Linked DNA regions of Schizosaccharomyces pombe. Changing the gene in region 1 together with any one later gene gives a genetic interaction. Each region holds a gene or a part of one and is shown in the gene's direction. Other genes may lie near its edges.

The links. Genes that interact genetically often act in the same process or in processes that back each other up.
Region 2: mutations in cfr1 (region 1) and clc1 impair growth when combined (synthetic growth defect), as found in Schizosaccharomyces pombe (one study listed by BioGRID).
Region 3: mutations in cfr1 (region 1) and bgs1 impair growth when combined (synthetic growth defect), as found in Schizosaccharomyces pombe (one study listed by BioGRID).

Annotation. Positions count from the first base shown.
Region 1 is NC_003424.3:3,267,693-3,273,871, forward strand, and holds cfr1 (CHS5-like protein Cfr1), read left to right. Parts: upstream 1-2,504; 5' UTR 2,505-2,542; coding exon 2,543-4,405; 3' UTR 4,406-4,457; coding exon of another isoform or gene 4,458-4,573; 3' UTR 4,574-4,675; downstream 4,676-6,179. Other genes in the region: syb1 (synaptobrevin family receptor), read left to right, coding at 619-820, 885-1,048; bouquet formation protein Bqt1, read right to left, coding at 4,458-4,573, 4,725-5,007. UniProt on the Schizosaccharomyces pombe protein: Required for cell fusion, independently of fus1. Appears to have a role in transporting proteins that are involved in mating. May act as a scaffold to retain cell fusion proteins in the cisternae of the Golgi.
Region 2 is NC_003423.3:1,824,801-1,829,603, forward strand, and holds clc1 (clathrin light chain Clc1), read left to right. Parts: upstream 1-2,352; 5' UTR 2,353-2,362; coding exon 2,363-3,052; 3' UTR 3,053-3,398; downstream 3,399-4,803. Other genes in the region: Nop52 family nucleolar protein, read left to right, coding at 13-301, 484-697; mdl1 (peptide-transporting ATPase), read right to left, coding at 3,860-4,803. UniProt on the Schizosaccharomyces pombe protein: Clathrin is the major protein of the polyhedral coat of coated pits and vesicles.
Region 3 is NC_003423.3:2,350,460-2,359,752, reverse strand, and holds bgs1 (primary septum and spore wall linear 1,3-beta-glucan synthase catalytic subunit Bgs1), read left to right. Parts: upstream 1-2,388; 5' UTR 2,389-3,509; coding exon 3,510-8,699; 3' UTR 8,700-8,831; downstream 8,832-9,293. Other genes in the region: DNA-binding transcription factor, MADS-box Mbx1, read right to left, coding at 60-206, 274-324; SPOM_SPBC19G7.04 (protein-DNA covalent cross-linking repair protein), read right to left, coding at 8,987-9,293. UniProt on the Schizosaccharomyces pombe protein: Alternate catalytic subunit of the 1,3-beta-glucan synthase (GS) complex. Synthesizes 1,3-beta-glucan, a major structural component of the fungal cell wall. Required for the assembly of the division septum and maintenance of cell polarity.

The DNA of each region.
Region 1 (6,179 bases):
TATGATTAAATGGACCCAAATAAACGTTGTTTCACCGATAGACCAAAAACCCAGGAAAAATCTAATATTGCAAGTGCCAAAACCAAAACCCTAATCCAGACGTAAATCGTAACGTAAATAAAATTTTATTTACAAAAGATCTCAAGAATAAAATAACAAATAACGTTTCGGACGCTACAGCGATGAGAGGAGACCTTTTAACACTATGTGAAAGTTAAAACTTTCATAAAAATTTCATAACTCAAGGAAATTTAGAAGAAGAAATATATTGTTATGAACAGCTCAAATCGCCAAGAAACAAGACGTGTTTCCAAATCTCTATTCCAAAGGGCGTAGTTGGTTCCTCCCAAATTCACCAATACTAAGGATTTGTTTACGTTATTTACTATGAGGGTACAGCTAGTTACATGTTTCTTATTGTAAAAAGGCAAGAAGTAATTTTATTACTTTATTTTATTTTTTTTCTTTAATTTATATAAGTATAATCACAAAACTGCTTTGCAACCCAACATTACAAAGCCAGATGTTTAACGCAATGGAAAGAGGATTAACGAATTGGTACACATCAACTCCAACCGAGCGCAAAAATAAATCCTCCACCAACTAACACATACGACCATGTCTGAGCCATATGACCCATATATCCCGGCGGAGCCTTCTGCAGCTGTTCGTAGTGGAAATGCTGCTGCTTCGTCGACGCCGAATATGAAGACAGCTGCAATTCAGCAGCAGATTGACGATACTGTGGGGATTATGCGTGAAAACATTTCTAAGGTTTCAGAACGTGGAGAACGCCTTGATTCTTTACAAGATAAAACAGGTATGATATTTATTTTTGTTAACAGTTAAATTTTTTTTTTGAACGTTTAGCTAACTTCTTTAAGATAACCTTGCTGTTAGCGCGCAAGGCTTCCGTCGTGGCGCCAATCGTGTTCGCAAGAAGATGTGGTGGAAGGACATGCGTATGCGTCTTTGCATTATCATTGGTATCATCATTTTACTTGTTGTCATTATTGTTCCTATCGCAACAAAATTTCATGGCAAGTAAGAAGATGTATCATGTAGCTTAGTCGCATGCCGAGTCAAAATATTTGCTGTTTGAATACTTTTTTTTCAAGCGTATTTTTGTCTCTGGTTTTTTTCTTCCTTCTCTCTTTCTTTCTCTCTTGCCTGACACAACAACCTATAAATCGAATTTTAAGAAAAAAGCTTCTGATGTAGACAGGGCCACTTTTTTTGCAAAGAGATAACGCATTTTTTCTCAAGATCCTTTATTCGTTTTTATTTTTCTTGCATATACATACTTGATGACTGACGGGTCAATGATAGTGAATACCAGGTTGGTTTTTTGTTGAGCAATTTGGTTTTGGCCTGTATTGCTTTTTCCTCTTTTCTTCTTTCTACACCTCACCATACATATCATGGGCCTTGCTTGCTTGACAAAGGAAATCTTTATGGATACAAAATTATCATTACTTTCCGTACTTAAGATGGTAAATAGAATTTTTGTTTCCTTCTCGGTATTTCTTTTCTATTCCGCTCTTTATATGGATAACCCTATAGCATAAAGATGGATAATGTTTTAATGTATACAGATTAGCCTCGATATTCCATTTGTCTACGGCTTTTTTCTAATTCTTCAAAAGTACTTAGTACGGGAGCAAATTTGTTATCTTATTTTCATATTTTTCCTTTAGAAGCTAGCTTCTTTTTATACTGATTATTGCACTGATAGGTGTATTAAAAAACCACTATTCTTAATTAATTTTATAGAGTGAAATGTGTAAACCTGATAATTAGGAAATATTTTTTAAGTTTGCTCACACGTGGTTTTATATCCAGATTAACAATTGTATTATTTTTCGACTTCTATTTTGCTCAACAGATATTGTGGTCTAATCCTTCATTCGTGTAGTATTTTAAATTTTGAATGCAGCACGGTTTACGAATTAAGATATATTCATCAACTGGGTTCAACAGTACTGCATTTGTTTTTGTTTACTATCAATGTAACTTAACGTAATTTAGAATTTAATTGTATCAGAAAGTAGTATATTTGCTCCCCTTAAAATGCTTTAGTCTGAAGAATAGATAATAATAGCCCAATATTTTAATAATTTAGATGATTGAAAAAATCAACAGATTTTTTTGTAATATTGTTTGTATGAATTCTCGTTGAAATATAATAATAAACTACATATATTAAATCGTTCACTTTTACTGAGTGATTGAATTAAATATATCTTCAAATATTTGTATATAATTTTAATAAATTGTAATTGTCTTCCTTACTAGAATTACGCTTATAATGATACTAACCAGAAAATTTAAAAAATATATAAGTTTGATATGTAAATAGATTGTGAAAAACCAGGGAATCACAACAACTCTTGATATTTATCAAAACAAAGATGATTATAACCTACATTTTTACTACGGTTCCTTAGGTAACAAGTGCTACCTATAGTTAGAAGTGTAAGAGTGCTGGTTAAGGTAAACACTCCACCACAACCAAAGGGGATTATCAATAATAGCATCTAAAATGGATGATACAAATCAATTTATGGTGTCTGTGGCCAAAATAGATGCGGGAATGGCCATCTTATTGACACCTTCATTTCATATTATAGAATTTCCATCCGTGTTGCTGCCGAATGACGCGACTGCAGGCTCTATAATCGATATCTCTGTGCATCACAATAAAGAGGAAGAGATAGCAAGAGAAACTGCATTCGATGATGTTCAAAAAGAAATTTTTGAAACATATGGCCAAAAATTGCCGTCTCCTCCTGTTCTTAAGTTAAAGAATGCTACTCAGACTAGCATTGTATTGGAATGGGATCCTTTACAACTCTCCACTGCGAGACTCAAAAGCCTTTGCTTGTACCGTAATAATGTTCGAGTGCTTAACATATCTAATCCCATGACTACTCACAATGCCAAGCTGAGTGGCTTATCTCTCGATACAGAATACGATTTTTCCCTTGTTTTGGATACGACTGCGGGAACATTTCCCAGCAAACACATTACCATCAAAACGTTAAGAATGATAGATCTCACAGGAATTCAAGTGTGTGTTGGCAACATGGTTCCCAATGAGATGGAGGCTTTACAAAAGTGTATTGAACGCATTCACGCTAGACCAATTCAAACTAGCGTTCGTATCGATACAACTCATTTTATCTGCTCTTCTACTGGGGGTCCTGAGTACGAAAAGGCAAAAGCTGCCAATATCCCTATTTTAGGTTTGGATTATTTGTTGAAATGCGAATCTGAAGGACGTTTGGTGAACGTTAGTGGTTTTTACATCGAAAATCGCGCTTCTTACAATGCTAACGCTTCTATTAATTCTGTAGAAGCTGCGCAAAATGCTGCACCAAATCTCAATGCTACAACCGAACAACCGAAGAATACCGCTGAAGTTGCTCAAGGTGCTGCATCAGCTAAAGCTCCACAGCAAACAACCCAACAGGGAACTCAAAATAGTGCAAATGCTGAGCCATCTAGTTCAGCTTCTGTTCCGGCTGAAGCGCCTGAAACTGAGGCTGAGCAATCAATCGATGTTTCCAGCGACATTGGTTTACGAAGTGATTCTAGTAAGCCCAATGAAGCTCCAACTTCTTCGGAAAACATCAAAGCGGATCAGCCAGAAAATTCTACAAAGCAGGAAAATCCCGAAGAGGATATGCAAATAAAGGATGCTGAGGAACATTCGAATCTGGAAAGTACACCTGCTGCCCAGCAAACTTCCGAAGTTGAAGCTAACAATCATCAAGAAAAACCATCTTCTTTGCCAGCCGTTGAGCAGATTAACGTGAACGAAGAAAACAATACCCCGGAGACTGAAGGACTTGAAGATGAAAAAGAAGAAAATAATACAGCCGCTGAATCTTTAATCAATCAAGAAGAAACTACCTCCGGTGAAGCAGTTACAAAGAGTACTGTTGAATCCTCAGCGAATGAGGAAGAAGCTGAACCTAACGAAATAATTGAAGAGAACGCTGTTAAATCTTTATTGAATCAAGAAGGACCTGCAACTAACGAAGAGGTTGAAAAAAACAATGCTAATTCTGAAAATGCGAATGGCTTGACAGATGAGAAAATAATCGAAGCCCCTTTAGATACTAAGGAAAATTCAGACGATGATAAGCCATCTCCCGCAGCAGCTGAAGATATTGGTACTAACGGTGCAATTGAGGAAATCCCTCAAGTTTCTGAAGTCTTAGAGCCAGAAAAAGCGCATACTACTAACTTGCAACTGAATGCGCTCGATAAAGAAGAAGATCTAAATATTACTACAGTTAAGCAAAGTTCGGAACCTACGGCTGATGACAATCTAATACCCAACAAAGAAGCAGAAATTATACAATCTTCTGACGAGTTTGAAAGTGTAAACATTGATTAATGACATTGATCTCTTGTATTCTGCAGTCTTTTTTTTTTCTTATGTTTATATGTTAACATTCTACGAATATCCTCCACTTTTCCAATCGTTTGACTAAAGGCACATGGGAACCATTTTGAACTGTAATGCTCTGGTATCCTTGCAGTCTTCTAGACCATGGAAGTACATCTAAACTCATTTAGCATTAGTAAATATATAGCTTCGGATTTTTTTTTCGTTCTCTAATAAATTTTTTTTTTTAAATTAAATCAACTAGGTCAAAAATGGGTAATGGGAGGTTTTGAAATTATGTTTCATTATACTGATAGACAGAACTTACAATATCGTAGTTTGAAATTCGTGCTGGCGTCTTCTTCCATATGTATCAATGATTCTTTATTTTGACCTTGGCAAAGCAAAGCGAATTGCCATATATTCGGAAATATCGAGTATAAATATTCTATCCTTTCAATTGAAACTTGAATAAGGCTGTGTTTTAAAAATCTAGCATGCTCACAGTTTGAATCAGTGCATACAGGTGTTTGAGTATAAATCGCGATTTGGGTTAAATATTCTACTTTGTTTTGTTCAAAAGAAATAAGCGTCGTAGTTAATAAATGCATTTTGTTTAAATCAGTATCATTTAGGATGGGTGAAAGGATTTTTTTTTAAAACGCGTCGTTTGTAGAAGAAGAGGTGCATAAAATATGAACACACCACATATAATAATAAGAGGATAGACATTAAAGCCAACAACCTATTAAAAGTGTAAATTTGAAATCAAAAAAGATTAAAAAAAAGAATAGGAATCGACTTCTTTTACACAAAGAAATCCACACCTATTTGATATTAGCTTGGACATCCTCTATTGACGACTGCATTTTCTGATAGCACAAACAAGACTTTTTCAGACTTAAATGAAAATTAAATAAACCAACAGTGGGTTTTTTAGGGAAACCTAAAAATTCAGAGAATCTTAAGCAAGTTCTCTGTTTTGCTTTACATAACAATCTTTAACGCCCACAACGTTGTAAAGATATCACCTATAAAAATAAAAAAATTACGCTTTTGAGGAATAGATGTGCTTTTTTATACATATGTTTATTCAAAATACAGCTCACTGTCTTAATCTGCTAAAGTAGTAGACCTTGTTTACCTATCATCTTTAGAGTGCATTAAGCAGTTGTTAAGCGAAAATTGCGTCATCTATTAGTGAGCCTCTGTTTACAAGTTGACGGCTGTTTATGAGTTTTGAAGAAGGAATCCAAAAATAAATTTGATTTTCACTGAAAATCTATGAAATAAATATGTAGCGACTAATCATACACAACAATTGTATCAAGTTGCCGACATAAAAATACCAGCTGGCTCAACCTTTATAGATACTTTTGAAGAGCTCTTATAAGCATTAATTAATGTTCGAATGATGTAGTTATTGCTTAAAAAAAAGAACCGCCTGGCGTTATTCTCGAGTAAAAGTAAAATCAACATGTGCAACGAAGGAATGGATGCACTGACTGCCGTCAATTTCTCTCAGCCGTCCTCCCAATAAAAATCATTAAGACATGTTATTAAAAACATTAAAAGGCATACCAACGGGTGTTGTATCTTACAAATCACCTCATGGGATCTGTTTTTTGTCAAACTACGGCATTACGCCTTACAAGAAAAAATGTAGAGAGTGAAACGAAACTGAATTGGGATGATTCTTAGCATTTAAAAAAATTGTTTTTGTCTTCGAAGCACAAATTTCACATTTTCTCTTTTTTTTCAAATCCTTCCTGCTTCTTCCTTA
Region 2 (4,803 bases), on another chromosome or scaffold:
TTTAATATGCAGGCATGTGGATGGCTGATAAACCCTTATACCAACAGAAACTCTCAGATAATTTAGCCGCGTTGGTTCCAATTGTCTGGATAGACAATAGAATATTATTTCAATCTACTTTTTGGGAAACTATGGGTCGTGAATGGACGGGAATTGATATTTTACGAACAGACAAATTTTACTTGTTAATGCGTAGATTTTGTGCTGCTGCGTTTCGGGATATTCAAACAAGAAGTAAAACTGCTTTGCTGGACAAAGTAGTGGCTGAATATAATCAGATGTGGATGGATGGTCCTTTTAAGTAAGTTGTTTTCGTTCCCGCGTGTGGGAATTTGTTTATTATATAGATTGCTTTTGCGTTGGAGACTTTTAGAAAAGTTTTGCAACGCTTTTACTTCCTGCTTACATCAAACTTGTTGAATAGCTATTTCTTAATTTTTATCATTTTTCTGTTTATTTGGACAGACTACTAACTGCTTTTAGTACCGAAAATCTTGCTTTTCCAAATGGGATTTTATTCCATTTAGCTGATATATGGACTGAGGAATTAAGAAAAGTCTACCCAGAAGATGTACCAAAAGCGGACTGGTATCTTCCTTTTGATTCTACAATCAAGTCAAGTCATAATGTTGTCTTAAGAAAGACGCTTCCCAAACGTCTTGATCGGGTTTCTGAATATACAAAGGATTCACAATAATTAATTGATTCGGCACGTTTATTAGGTTTTGGTGAACTAAAAAAATATATTGGTGGTAATATACAACTTGTGGTTTGTAATAGACATTAATTATTCATATGATTGAACTTTTCATTTCCGTACCCCTACAACAAAAGTTTCGTAGTAATGCTGTTTCTTTTCTTTCTTAAGAATATCCAGATCGTCTTCATGTAGAGTAGATATGTGCTTATATTTTTATAACTCTTAAGAGGTGAAAAGATATAAGTAATCGATATTTACATCAAGTTGTAAAAAAGTGTAAAAACATGGGCTGTTGTGGGAATCGAACCCACGACCACCATCACCCTAAGATGGTATCATACCACTAGACCAAACGGCCACTATTGATTTATGTTGTCAAAAAGGTTTATACAAGACAAATGAGAATCGTTATATTTGATTGTTGCTTGACTTGTGTTTTAAACATTCCTAATGAACATTCGTAATCAATTACCCGACGTGCTTAGCAATAAATATTGGCATATACATTGCTCCCATTCGAATGCATAGTTGTATAGTACATGTACAATCAGGCCGCACAAATACATTCAACAACTGTAAGGTTGAGTAAAGATAATTACTCAAATTTAAAGACTTTTTGTGAGTAAAACAGTCAGATTGCAGTAAGACCTCGATATCATAATTAACCTCTAGAAATACACCATGTAGGAGTTTAAGATATTAAAACATACTATGTAAAAACGTTTTAACTGTCAGCAATACTACACTACGCTATGATACTCCACGTTGCATATCACTATATGTCACATGTTCACAATGTTCTATTTGCTCTATCAACTATTACATGATAAGTCATCAAGATGGAGATATAATATCATTCATGATAAGATAACTATCAGATATAATTCTTACTACTTCAAATATTATAAATTGAGAACAACTGAACCTCGTCCCTCAGTTCAGTTATAAGCTATATTAGTGATAGGTAACATTATAACCTAGTTAATACAATACCTATACTCAGTTGCTACTCATACAACCTGTGTATTGTAATATAATAGATCACAAGGAAAACTCACCGCAGTTCTATGTATCCTTAAATCAGATACCAAACTGCGTAGCTTACATTAACGCATTAATCTGATATATTATATTATTTTAACGTTGGACAAGAAAGTGAATGTTGCACGTTATATTATTTCAACTGAAACTTCTTCCTAAAGCATTTAATTTTCATACTAAATGCGACCGGAGTCACTAATAATTCGGTAGTTATAAGATCCTTGAACAGTGTTTGCTTTAATGTCTTGGCGTTCCTATTTGACAAATCTCAAACTCCCGACTTGATCAAACTAACAAAACTGTACCTCGTACTGCGTTCACTGTCATTTTTATGTTTCATGTATTCATTTTTGTAAATTATAAAAGATGGTATACTTTCTATCTATCTTGGTTTAGCGAATTTTTTTATAAGAAAAAAAACCTCAGTGTTATAGATGTTTATTTTTTAGTGATATATAACGAAAAATAAAATACTGGCTGAATTTAACGATTTGGTTTATATCATTGACACGTTAATATAAATAGCGAAAGAAAAGACGTTTCGCTAAATTATGCTACACTCAGCAAAGCTGCTGTCTACTTAGATGCAGATACTACCACTTTCAACCTTTACCAACCACCATGTCTCAATTTCCGGCTTTAGAAGACTTTGACGACGGTTTGGTTACCGCTCCTGTTGATGACTCTAAAAATAATACTGATTTCTTGGAACGCGAAAAGTTGGCACTTGGAGAGGATGCTGGACAATTCGAAACACCGGAGGATAAAGACGCGTTGTTGAATTTTGAAAATGATTCGGAAGCTGAACAAACTAGATTTGAACAGAACTTTCCTCCCATAGATGCTGAAATGCAAGCCTCTGGTACCTTTTCCGCTCCGAAAGCTCCTTACATGGGTCAAGCCGAAGTTCATCCCCCTGAAGACGAAAGCGGTGACCCCGAACCCGTTCGCAAGTGGAAAGAGGATCAAATGAAAAGGATCCAAGAAAGAGATGAGTCTTCCAAAAAGTTGCGCGAATCTAATATCGAGAAGGCCCGCAAGGCTATTGATGATTTTTATGAGAATTTTAATGATAAGAGAGATAAAGTCATTGCCAAGTCGAGAAAAGAACAAGAAAAACTGTTGGAAGAAAATGAAAGCAAATCTACTGGAACTACGAGCTGGGAGCGTATCCTGAAGCTTATTGATTTATCCGATAAGCCTGAGGCTCATGGCCGCTCTACAGAACGCTTTCGTGAACTTCTCATCAGCCTTGCAAAAGATAGCAATGCTCCTGGTGCTGCCGGCACAACTGTATCCTCTTCTTCTTAGAGATAAAGCTCTCCAATCCTTTTTGCTTTCAATGCTTGCACACTACCCTTCCTTTTGACACAATTAGCAGTGTTTAAAATAATATCTGACTAAGAATTTTTTTTATAATTTATACTTTTTTAAGTATTCAGTTCTCATATAAAATTCTTTGTCTACCTACTACAGATTTGTAACTATACTTTTTCTTGGATCTGTGCTTTGATATTTAGGGTATGTCTGTTTATTCGTCCTTCCCTTATATTGCGTTTCATAACGGTATGCCGTCTCTTGGTGTACTGCTTACCGCTTTTTATGCTTGTTGATTTTGTCGACTTTCCACCCTTTAATATGATTTCTAAAATTATTTAAAAATACTTGAACCTTTTACCGTTGTAGCAAATACTGAACGTCCGTACTGTAGTTATTTCATTTAATGTGATTTGTATCTAGCTTCACTTCCATTTGCCGCATAAACTACTGGACGATTTTTCATTGTCGAGATTTACAAGCGTAACGAATTTTGTGCAATTAATATATATTCTCTCTCTTTTAATATTTGCTCCTTTCAAACTTAAGTTTGCTATTGGGGTTTTAGATTTTACAGTTTCTTCTCAGTTGATATTGCTTAAAGGAACAATTTCCGCAGCCCTTTCTTTAAATGCCAAACTAATTACGGAACTGAATATTATTAATTTGCTAATCTTATATGCCAGCGAAGAAAAAAAAGAATAGAGTACCGATGTATTTAAAGATATGATTGAAAATTGCGTCTTGAGAGTACGCATGAATAAATTAATAAAACGAACAAGAGATACTTCACGTTTACGATCAAGGTTCAACTTTTCCAAGCTGCCATCTCATTAACTTGTAAAAGTTGGTACCAGGACGAGACAATCGTTCAAAAGACCCTTGCTCCAAAACTTTCCCGTCTCCAACAACAATTATTTGATCAGCTCGGCGAATAGTAGCCAATTTGTGAGCAATCGTAATGGTAGTCATACTACGATTATGCATCAAAGATTGAATCGTTTTATCCACCATTACTTCTGCTTCACCGTCTAATGCTGAAGTAGCTTCATCCAAAATTAAAAATGCTGGATTTCGAAGAAGTGCCCTAGCAATTGCAATGCGTTGTTTTTGTCCCCCGCTTAGTTGTAAACCACGAGTCCCGACTTGCGTAGACCATTTCTCCGGGAAAGAAAGCACAAAACTACAATTCGCTCGTTTGGCAGCATCTTCGATTTCCTCTTGAGATGCGTTAGATTTACCGTAAGCAATATTTTCGCCAATTGTACCAGAAAATAAAACCGGTTCTTGTCCAACTAAACCAAAATGACTGCGCCATTGATGAACATTATATGTAGAGATGTCAACTCCGTCAGCTAATATTTTCCCACTACTAGGTGCGTAAAAGCGCAAAAGGAGCTGTGAGATGGTGGATTTTCCACCGCCACTAGGTGCGACTATAGCAACATTGGTGCCTGGATGAATGTCGAAAGATAAGTTATCAAATATTGAAGCTGAAGGACGAGTTGGGTATGCAAACCCAACATTTCTGAACGAAAGTATTGCCTTTCCGACTGTGACTGGAACGGGAATCCCAACGGTTGGAGCTATCTTCGGTTTAGCATCTAAAAGTTCAAATAACCGACTAGCAGCTCCCAGACCTTTCATAATATCAGTAAAACATCCTGATAAGCCAACAATGCTTCCACCGGCATAAACGGTATACAGCAAAAATGAACTTAGCTGTCCTACAGTTATATCACCTG
Region 3 (9,293 bases), on another chromosome or scaffold:
CTTTACATTGAAAGGATATGACAGAAAAGGATCAGAAAAACGGGAAATATGAAACATACAACGTGACAAGCATTTTTAGAATCAAAAATCATGACCACCACTTTAGCATCACACAAAACGGAGAGTTCATGTGCTTTTTTTATCAAGCCAAGTCGTCGACGATTAAAAGTAAGAGCCTTATTTTTTGCATCGGAAATACGCTGTATCTAAATGGTACGTTAGCGAGGAGAAAAGGGGTGTATGAATGGAACCAAACCACTATGTAGCACATACAGAACGGCGAGGAGATGAAGGAGCAGTACTAGGAGGAGGATTAATATCCATAGTTAGAGTCCAAATATTTAGGTAATAATATAAATAAGAAGTAGAAAAAGAGCGACAATTAAGAACCAAAATAGTAAAAAAACAACAAAAAAAGGATTAAAAATTAAACCAATTGACTAAATCAACCGAGGAAATTCAGTGAAGTCTAGAAATAAAAATTAGGAGAAAAGGGAGAAGGAAAAAAGGGCGCAAAGAAAGTGAGAGTTTCGACTATTCTTATATTCTTGTTTCGTGATTATTGACAGTGTAATAAAAATCAAAATTAAGGGAAGGCAAAGACGCATGCAAGGAAGTGCAAAACTTAAAGGTTGAAATACAAAATATGATTATCCGCTAGATTCACTTGAATGTATCAGCTTGACTTGAAATGCAGCAAAACAGTAATGGGTACCAAAATGGGATATAATCTAAAGGGATAAGAATACAAGGAAAATGTCGTTAACGTTTTGGGTAGACGAATGAAAAAACCTTTTAATGTAGAAAAAAGAGATAACTTTGGAAGAATTTTAAAAAAGCAGGCAAATATTAGGATATCATTCAATCGGCTCCTATGACTTGAAGTCTAACCCAATACTAAATGTGCAAAAAAAAATAAGGAAGCCGATCACCAAAATAAATGGAAACCAAATAAAAAAAAGCCAAGGATGAAATTCAAAATATTCAATTTGAGACTTTCAAAATGTAAACAAAGCGACAATAACGGCAATGTAAAGTTTGCGGAGACAAAAAATTTCACCTTTGAATATAAATAGAAACACTGAATAGGCAGTACGGAAAAAAATTTTTCTTAAATCAACCCCAGACTTGAACCAAAATATAAAAAATGTGAAATTTGGATGAAAAAGAAGCGTATACAGCGTATCAGGAACGTATAGTTTGTAGGAAAAAACGCTGGATTTATCCTTTTCAAAATCTCGTGGTAAATGTACTGAGCCTTTCTATAAAGCCCACCCAAGCCCTGTAAGGTACCGGACGAAAAAAGTCTCGCTACAGGGGGTTAAGATGATAAGAAAGGCTAGGGTGCTAGATTATTTATCTAATAAGGTAGTGTAAAGAAGTAAAACAAACTAGAGAAGTAGAAAATATAGGAATTAATGAAATGGAGAAAATGAAAAGAGCAGAAGGTGCGACAATAGAAATAGTTGTAGTCAAATGATTGTAAGAAGTTGTTTAAGTGTGACAACTAAATAGTCATCAAAGATTTAAAAGAATATCGCTGTAATAGTCGATTGATAGATAAAAATATTTACAGGATGTGTTTGTTTTTGGGGTATTCGTAAGGGAAATTGCCCAATCCAAGTCTTAACCAGAATATGGAATGGAAACCTTTTCCAATGCCGGCACATTGTTTCTTCCTTTGGATTAACCAATTGCTTTTAAATTCGTACTCGGTTGTCTTTTCATCTTCTTTAGATCCTAACCAGATTTGTTAGCATTCAAATCCGTACTTTTCCCACGCATTCAATACCCAGACATTGTGCGTCTATGATTTTCCCAATTTTCGGGATTTGCGAAAAAAGCCCAATGCCTAGTTCTCTTCATAAGCTCTATACTGTAATAATCATACCTTTGCTAATTGGGATTCGGTACCTTCTAGCTTTGTATTATTTTTACTATTGTTTACCACCCATGTAGACAATCACATATTAGAAATTAGTTTAACAATTCCAAAAAAAAAGAACACTCGTCGCTTATGTTCACTGTAACTGAATTATGGTTTCAGCTACACTTTCTTGACTTTTTGTAGTTTGTTTACTTCTTTTCCAATTCAAATATAGCGTCCTTAGTTTGGTTAAAAGTATCCATCTAAAACGGTAGCTGGGTATAACGATTGATAAGATGCTACACAGTAGCTGCTTATAAATTCTTTCTTTGTTTGACCGGCTATGGCTTTGCTTTGTATGGGGATGGTTTTTTAAGCCTCCTTGTGCCTCGTTGGTGAGTAACCTGAGCCTCCTACCACGCCAGCCTCTAAATTGCTTACACTAAAATAGGCCTCAATAATGTGCACTACCCTTCCCCATTTCGCTGTTAGTTTTGAAAGAACCGGAATGAGTACAACTTGCAGACAACAAACTAGGAACTGGTGGGTTTTGGCTATTTTCACCGTTCTCTTAGTGGAATTACTCTAAAATTTTTGAAAATATATTGATTAATTAGAGTAAATTATCCTTTTTAACGTCAAATTTTTGATTCTGTTGCACGGAATTAATTTTTTCTTCCTTCTTATATATCTATCATTGGTTCCTTCTTTTCTTTTTCCTCTCTTTTTTCCTATTAGCCTCCATACAAAAAGGTTGACTCCATCTTAACATTTGCCAAGTTTTCTTGTGTGATATTATCTTTACGTTAGTTGCTCCATCACTGCTAAGTTTTCGGTGTGTGCAAGATCACCTTTTGTCGTAGCATTGTGTTTGTGTGGACGTTTGGCGTTTGTCCCGGGTTCCTCTTACCCTTTCGCTTCTCTTTTCCTTCCATTTTCCCATCTCCATTTACTTTTTTTTCGCTTTGAGAGATTGTAAATAAGCTTCTGCATACGACAATTTAATTGTTCAATCTAAAGTTTATGTGGAAAGCGATTTTATATTTTCTCCTTTTCTTTTAAAAAAACGTCCTTCCTTGAATCGCTTTTTTAAAAATTTGGTCAGTTTCCTAGGTGTGCATTTGTAAGTACTTCTTTTGGTGCTTGCTGTTTTATGGTATTATTATTGTTGTTTTTATAATTATTTCTTCTTTTTTTTCGCCTCTTTTTTTATAATTTGCATACTGTATTTTTAGGTTCCGTTCATTCCCTTTTGAACCTCCGATATCTTAACTACTCTTTCACTTCGTGATCCCACCCTTTTTCCTACTTTTAGAGCTTTTTCCGCCGTCTTCTCTCATCCGGCATACATATATCACCCTTTTTTCTTCTTTTTAGGATTTGAAAAAGTCTTTTACTTTTTTCATTTCAATCAGCACAAATTTTTTTCTCTTCTACTCTTTTGCCCCCATTTTCCAAGGCTTAACTTCTTTCTTTTTAATCTTTTTTTCAAGGTCTCTTAAATTTATTTCTTTCTTTTGAACATCGTTCCTCATTTGCTAGCATTCTTTCTCACAAATTCCAACTTTTCTTTCTTTCAATTCTTCTTAATTTAAGCATTAAAATTTGTCCTCTCTCCTTCTTTTGAGTCTATTTATTCATCATGGATCAGTATTGGCGTGAACAAGAGGGTCGTGGACTCTTTGAAGATGATGCCAATAGTTATGTCTCTGACGATGATACTATGAGCTCTCTGACCCGTATGATTTACGATAAAAACTCTTCTCGTGATGCATTACATTCTGATTATGATAGCTCTTCATTTAATGTCGATTCCAGTTCAGTTGCTTATCCGGCTTGGAATCAAGCTGGTGAAGAGGCTCCTGTTACTATGGAAGGTGTTCAAGAGATCTTGTTGGACCTTACAAATAAACTTGGTTTTCAAAAAGATAACATGCGTAACATTTTTGATTATGTTATGGTTCTTTTAGATTCTCGGGCATCTCGTATGTCTCCTTCCTCGGCACTGCTTACTATCCATGCCGATGTCATTGGTGGTGAACATGCAAATTTTTCAAAGTGGTACTTTGCTTCTCATTTTAATGACGGTCATGCCATTGGATTTCACGATATGTCTTCCCCAATTGTCGAAACAATGACTTTGAAAGAAGCTGAACAGGCATGGAGAGATCAAATGGCAGCATTTTCACCCCATCGCATGATGGTGCAGGTGTGCCTTTATTTTCTTTGCTGGGGTGAAGCTAACAATGTTCGTTTTGTTCCCGAGTGTCTTTGTTTTATATTTGAATGTGCTTATGATTATTATATCTCTTCGGAAGCTAAAGATGTCGATGCTGCTTTGCCCAAGGAATTTTATTTAGACTCGGTTATCACCCCTATTTATCGATTTATTCATGCACAGCTGTTTGAAATTTTGGACGGCAAATACGTCAGACGAGAAAGAGATCATTCTCAAATCATTGGCTATGATGATATTAATCAATTGTTTTGGTCCTACAAGGGCCTTCAGGAAATCATGTGTGCTGATAAAACTCCGTTGTTAGATTTACCACCGTTTATGCGATATCGACATCTTTCCGATGTTGAATGGAAATCATGTTTTTATAAGTCCTATTACGAGTATCGTTCTTGGTTCCATAACGTTACCAATTTCTCACGTATTTGGGTAATGCATATATCTGCTTACTGGTATTATTCGGCTTATAATTCCCCAAATTTGTACACCAAAAATTATCACATCCGCTTGAATAATAAACCTCCTGCTTCTTGTCGTTGGACAGCTTGTGGTTTAGCTGGTGCTATAGCTTCTTTTATCACCTTGGCAGCTGTGGTTTTCGAATATATACATGTTCCTCGTCGTTATCATTCTGCCAGAAGGTTGTGGCCGAGTATGCTGTTATTGATAAGTACGCTACTTCTAAACATCGCACCTGTTGTTTTCATATTTGCTTCGTCTACGAAAGAGCAGCATTATGCTTCTCGATTGGTTGTAGGAATTGTGCATTTCTTTTTCTCGTTGGTCTGTGTAGTTTACTATTCGATTACGCCGTTACGAAATTTGGTTGGTTTCACCACAAAAAGGTCTGGAAAAAACCTTGCTAACAGATTTTTCACCGCCAATTTCACTCCGACCTCAAAAACAGGTGCTTTCGTTTCTTGGTGTCTTTGGATTACAGTTTTGGTGGCCAAATTCTTGGAATCTTATTTCTTTTTAACTTTGAATTTGGCAGATTCTATCAGATTTTTGGGTGCTATGCGACCTTATGACTGCCGTGATTACATTTTAGGAGCTGGACTATGCAAGGCTCAGCCTAAAATTCTCTTGAGTTTACTGTATTTAACTGATCTTTCTCTGTTTTTCCTTGATACTTATCTATGGTACATTCTTATCAGCACTATCTATTCTTTGGCTTATGCTTTTTGCCTGGGTATCAGTGTGTGGACTCCTTGGAGAGAATTGTTTTACCGCGTTCCCAGAAGAATATATACAAAACTGTTGTATACCGATGACATGGAGATTGTCTTCAAGCCAAAAGTACTTATTTCTCAAGTTTGGAATGCCATTATTATCTCGATGTACAGGGAGCATTTGATTTCCCGTACCCAAATTCAGGAGTTGTTGTACCATCAAGTACCTTCTGAAAAGGCAGGCTATCATACTCTTAGAGCTCCCAACTTTTTCTACTCCCAACAGGTTAAGCATTATAAGCAAGATTTGTTTCCGGCTAATTCAGAAGCTGCTCGAAGAATCTCCTTTTTCGCACAATCCTTGGCTGAATCAATACCCAAGACTAGTTCCATTGATGCCATGCCTACCTTCACTGTTTTGGTTCCTCACTATTCTGAGAAAATTTTGTTATCTTTAAGAGAGATTATTCGCGAGGAAGATCAACTTTCTCGCGTAACTCTATTAGAGTACTTGAAGCAGCTATATCCTGTGGAGTGGAGAAATTTTGTTGATGATACAAAATTACTTGCTGATGAAAATGATTCTGTTATTGGCAGTATCGACAATGAAAAAAATGGAGTAAATAAAGCATATGACCTTCCTTTCTATTGTGTTGGATTTAAATCTGCGACTCCGGAGTATACTTTGAGAACAAGAATTTGGGCCTCTCTGAGAACTCAAACTTTGTATCGCACTATCAACGGTTTCAGTAACTATAGTCGTGCCATCAAACTGTTATACAGAACGGAAACACCAGAATTGGTCGAATGGACAAATGGTGACCCTGTGCGATTAGATGAAGAATTGGATTTAATGGCAAACAGGAAGTTCCGATTCTGTGTCTCCATGCAGCGGTATGCTAAGTTTACCAAAGAAGAAGCCGAAAATGCAGAATTTTTATTAAGAGCGTATCCAGACTTGCAAATTGCATATATGGATGAAGATCCTCAATCTCGACATAATGACGAGCGCCATCTTTATTCTGTACTGATTGACGGTCATTGCCCCATTATGGAAAATGGAAAGCGTCGACCCAAATATCGTATTCGTCTATCTGGTAACCCAATTTTGGGTGACGGTAAATCTGATAATCAAAATATGTCTATTCCTTACATTAGAGGTGAATATGTACAAATGATCGATGCCAACCAGGATAATTATTTGGAAGAATGTCTAAAGATTCGTAGCATTCTTGCTGAATTTGAGCAACTTACTCCTCCCTTACATAGCCCTTACTCGGTAAATGCCAAAGCTGCTGACAATCATCCCGTAGCTATTCTCGGTGCTAGAGAATACATTTTTTCAGAAAATACAGGTATGCTTGGAGATGTAGCTGCTGGAAAGGAACAAACATTTGGTACTCTTTTCGCTCGTATTTTATCGTTGATTGGTGGAAAATTGCATTACGGACATCCTGATTTTATTAATGTTTTGTTTATGATTACTCGTGGCGGCGTTTCAAAAGCACAAAAAGGTCTGCATGTTAATGAAGATATTTATGCAGGTATGATTGCTCTTCAACGTGGAGGACGTATTAAGCATTGTGATTACTATCAATGTGGTAAGGGTCGTGACTTGGGTTTTGGCTCAATTCTTAACTTTACTACGAAAATTGGAACGGGTATGGCGGAACAAATGCTTTCAAGAGAATATTTCAACCTTGGCACACAATTACCGTTTGATAGGTTTTTGTCATTTTTCTATGCCCACGCTGGATTTCACGTCAATAACATGGTCATCATGTTTTCTTTACAGTTATTGATGCTTGTTATTATTAATTTGGGAGCAATGTACACTGTTGTTCCGGTTTGTAGATACCGCCAATTTGACTCCTTGACAGCTTCTTTGTACCCTGAAGGTTGTTATCAATTAAAACCAGTTCTCGAGTGGTTGAAGCGTTGTATTTTGTCTATTTTCATTGTCTTTGGTATTGCTTTTGTTCCACTTGCTGTTTGTGAATTAGGGGAACGCGGTGCCATCCGAATGGTTATTCGTTTAGCGAAACAAATATTCTCTCTATCTCCTATTTTTGAAATTTTCACATGCCAAATATATGCGCAGAGTTTAATTGCAAATCTTACGTTTGGTGGTGCACGCTATATTGGTACTAGCAGAGGTTTTGCTACTGTTCGTGTGCCGTTCTCACTATTGTATTCTCGATTCTCTGGACCATCACTTTATTTTGGGTCACGACTTATGTACATGTTATTGTTTGGTTCAATTACTGCTTGGTTGCCGCATTATATTTACTTTTGGATTACGCTGACTGCTCTTTGCATTAGTCCATTCCTTTACAATCCCCATCAATTCGCCTGGACCGATTTCTTTGTTGATTATCGTGAGTTTATGCGCTGGCTATTCCGCGAAAATTCACGCAATCAAGCAAATTCATGGATTGGCAACTGTCAACTTTGCCGTACCAGAGTAACTGGGTATAAACGTAAAATATATGGTAAGAAGGCAGATAAAATTGCTATGGATTCCCCGCGTGCGAGAATTACTACAATGTTTTATGGTGAAATATTAGGGCCTCTAGGAACACTATTTTTCACGTGTATTCCATTTCTCTTTATCAATTCCCAACCTGGTAACGATGATGAGACCCAATCTACTAATGCTTTTATTCGCTTGATTATTATGTCAGTTGCTCCTTTGGTTTTAAGTGCAATTATTGCTTTTTTCTTTTTCTGTTTAGGAATCATGTTACGTCCTATTCTCGGCGATAGATCTAAAACGTATGGTGTATATTTGGCTGGAGTGGCCCATTTCCTTTTTGTGTGTGTTGATGTTGTTGTCTTTGAAGTATTGGGCTATTTGGAAGGTTGGTCATTTTCAAAAACTTTACTTGGATTTGTAGCAATCATTTCAATTCACAGGTTTGCTCATAAATTTTTTATCATATGTTTCCTGTCTCGAGAATTTCGTCATGATGGTGCCAATTTAGCTTGGTGGTCTGGACGTTGGAATGGCCAAGGTTTTGGATATATGGTTTTAACGCAACCATGGAGAGAATTTGTGTGTAAAACTACAGAGTTGAATATGTTTGCTGGTGATTTCCTTTTAAGTCATCTTTTGTTGTTTTTGCAAGCGCCTGTTATTTTGATTCCTTATATCGACAAACTTCACTCGATCATATTATTCTGGCTTGTGCCCAGCAGACAAATTCGACCCCCAATTTATACCATAAGACAAAACAAACTTCGTCGTCAAATAGTTCTTCGCTATGCCACTTTGTACTTTTCATTGTTTATTGCCTTTTTTGTTCTTTTAATTTTGCCTTTTGTGTTTGGTAAATCAGCTGCTGGAACTTCAATGGATAAATTTAATCTGATTCAGCCAGCGACAAAGATTGTTTATTCTTCAACAAAGAATTCTTCTGTCTAAAGCATTTTATTTTTTTTTAAAGGATTTGTGTGATGTGGATGCTTATTTCTCATTAGAAATGCTCTCAATTAGGGTAAATAATAATTATTATATTTGCATTTTGTTAAATAAAAAATGACTTGAGTGTTGATTAAGTATCTAGTACTTGAGAATATATTATCTAAATAAGTAATGAAGAACGATTGATGGTTAGAGCAAACACAAACTTAATGTCTGTTACATGAGAAAAAATTATTGGTGCACCGTCTGCCCGTAATGTGATATTGATTATGTTATTACGTTCACATTTACAAATCGCTTGAAGAGATAAGGCTAACGGATTTTGAAACGTTTTGTTTAGCATCTTTAGTACGGTGGTACTCATCTGAAAGTTTCTTCATAAGTTCCTTGTGAGTGATGTGTGGGTGTAGCTTTCGTAGTCTCTTAGAATTCTCCTTTAAAAAAATTTGAAATGCATTGGGCTGTTTTATTTTGGGGCAAATTTGTTTAATTTGTGATTTGCATAACCTACAAACTTGTTTCTGTGGATTGATGGATTTTGAGTGCCTTCCATAAAGTTTGTTGCATTTTTCATTAATACACAGCCATTTATAC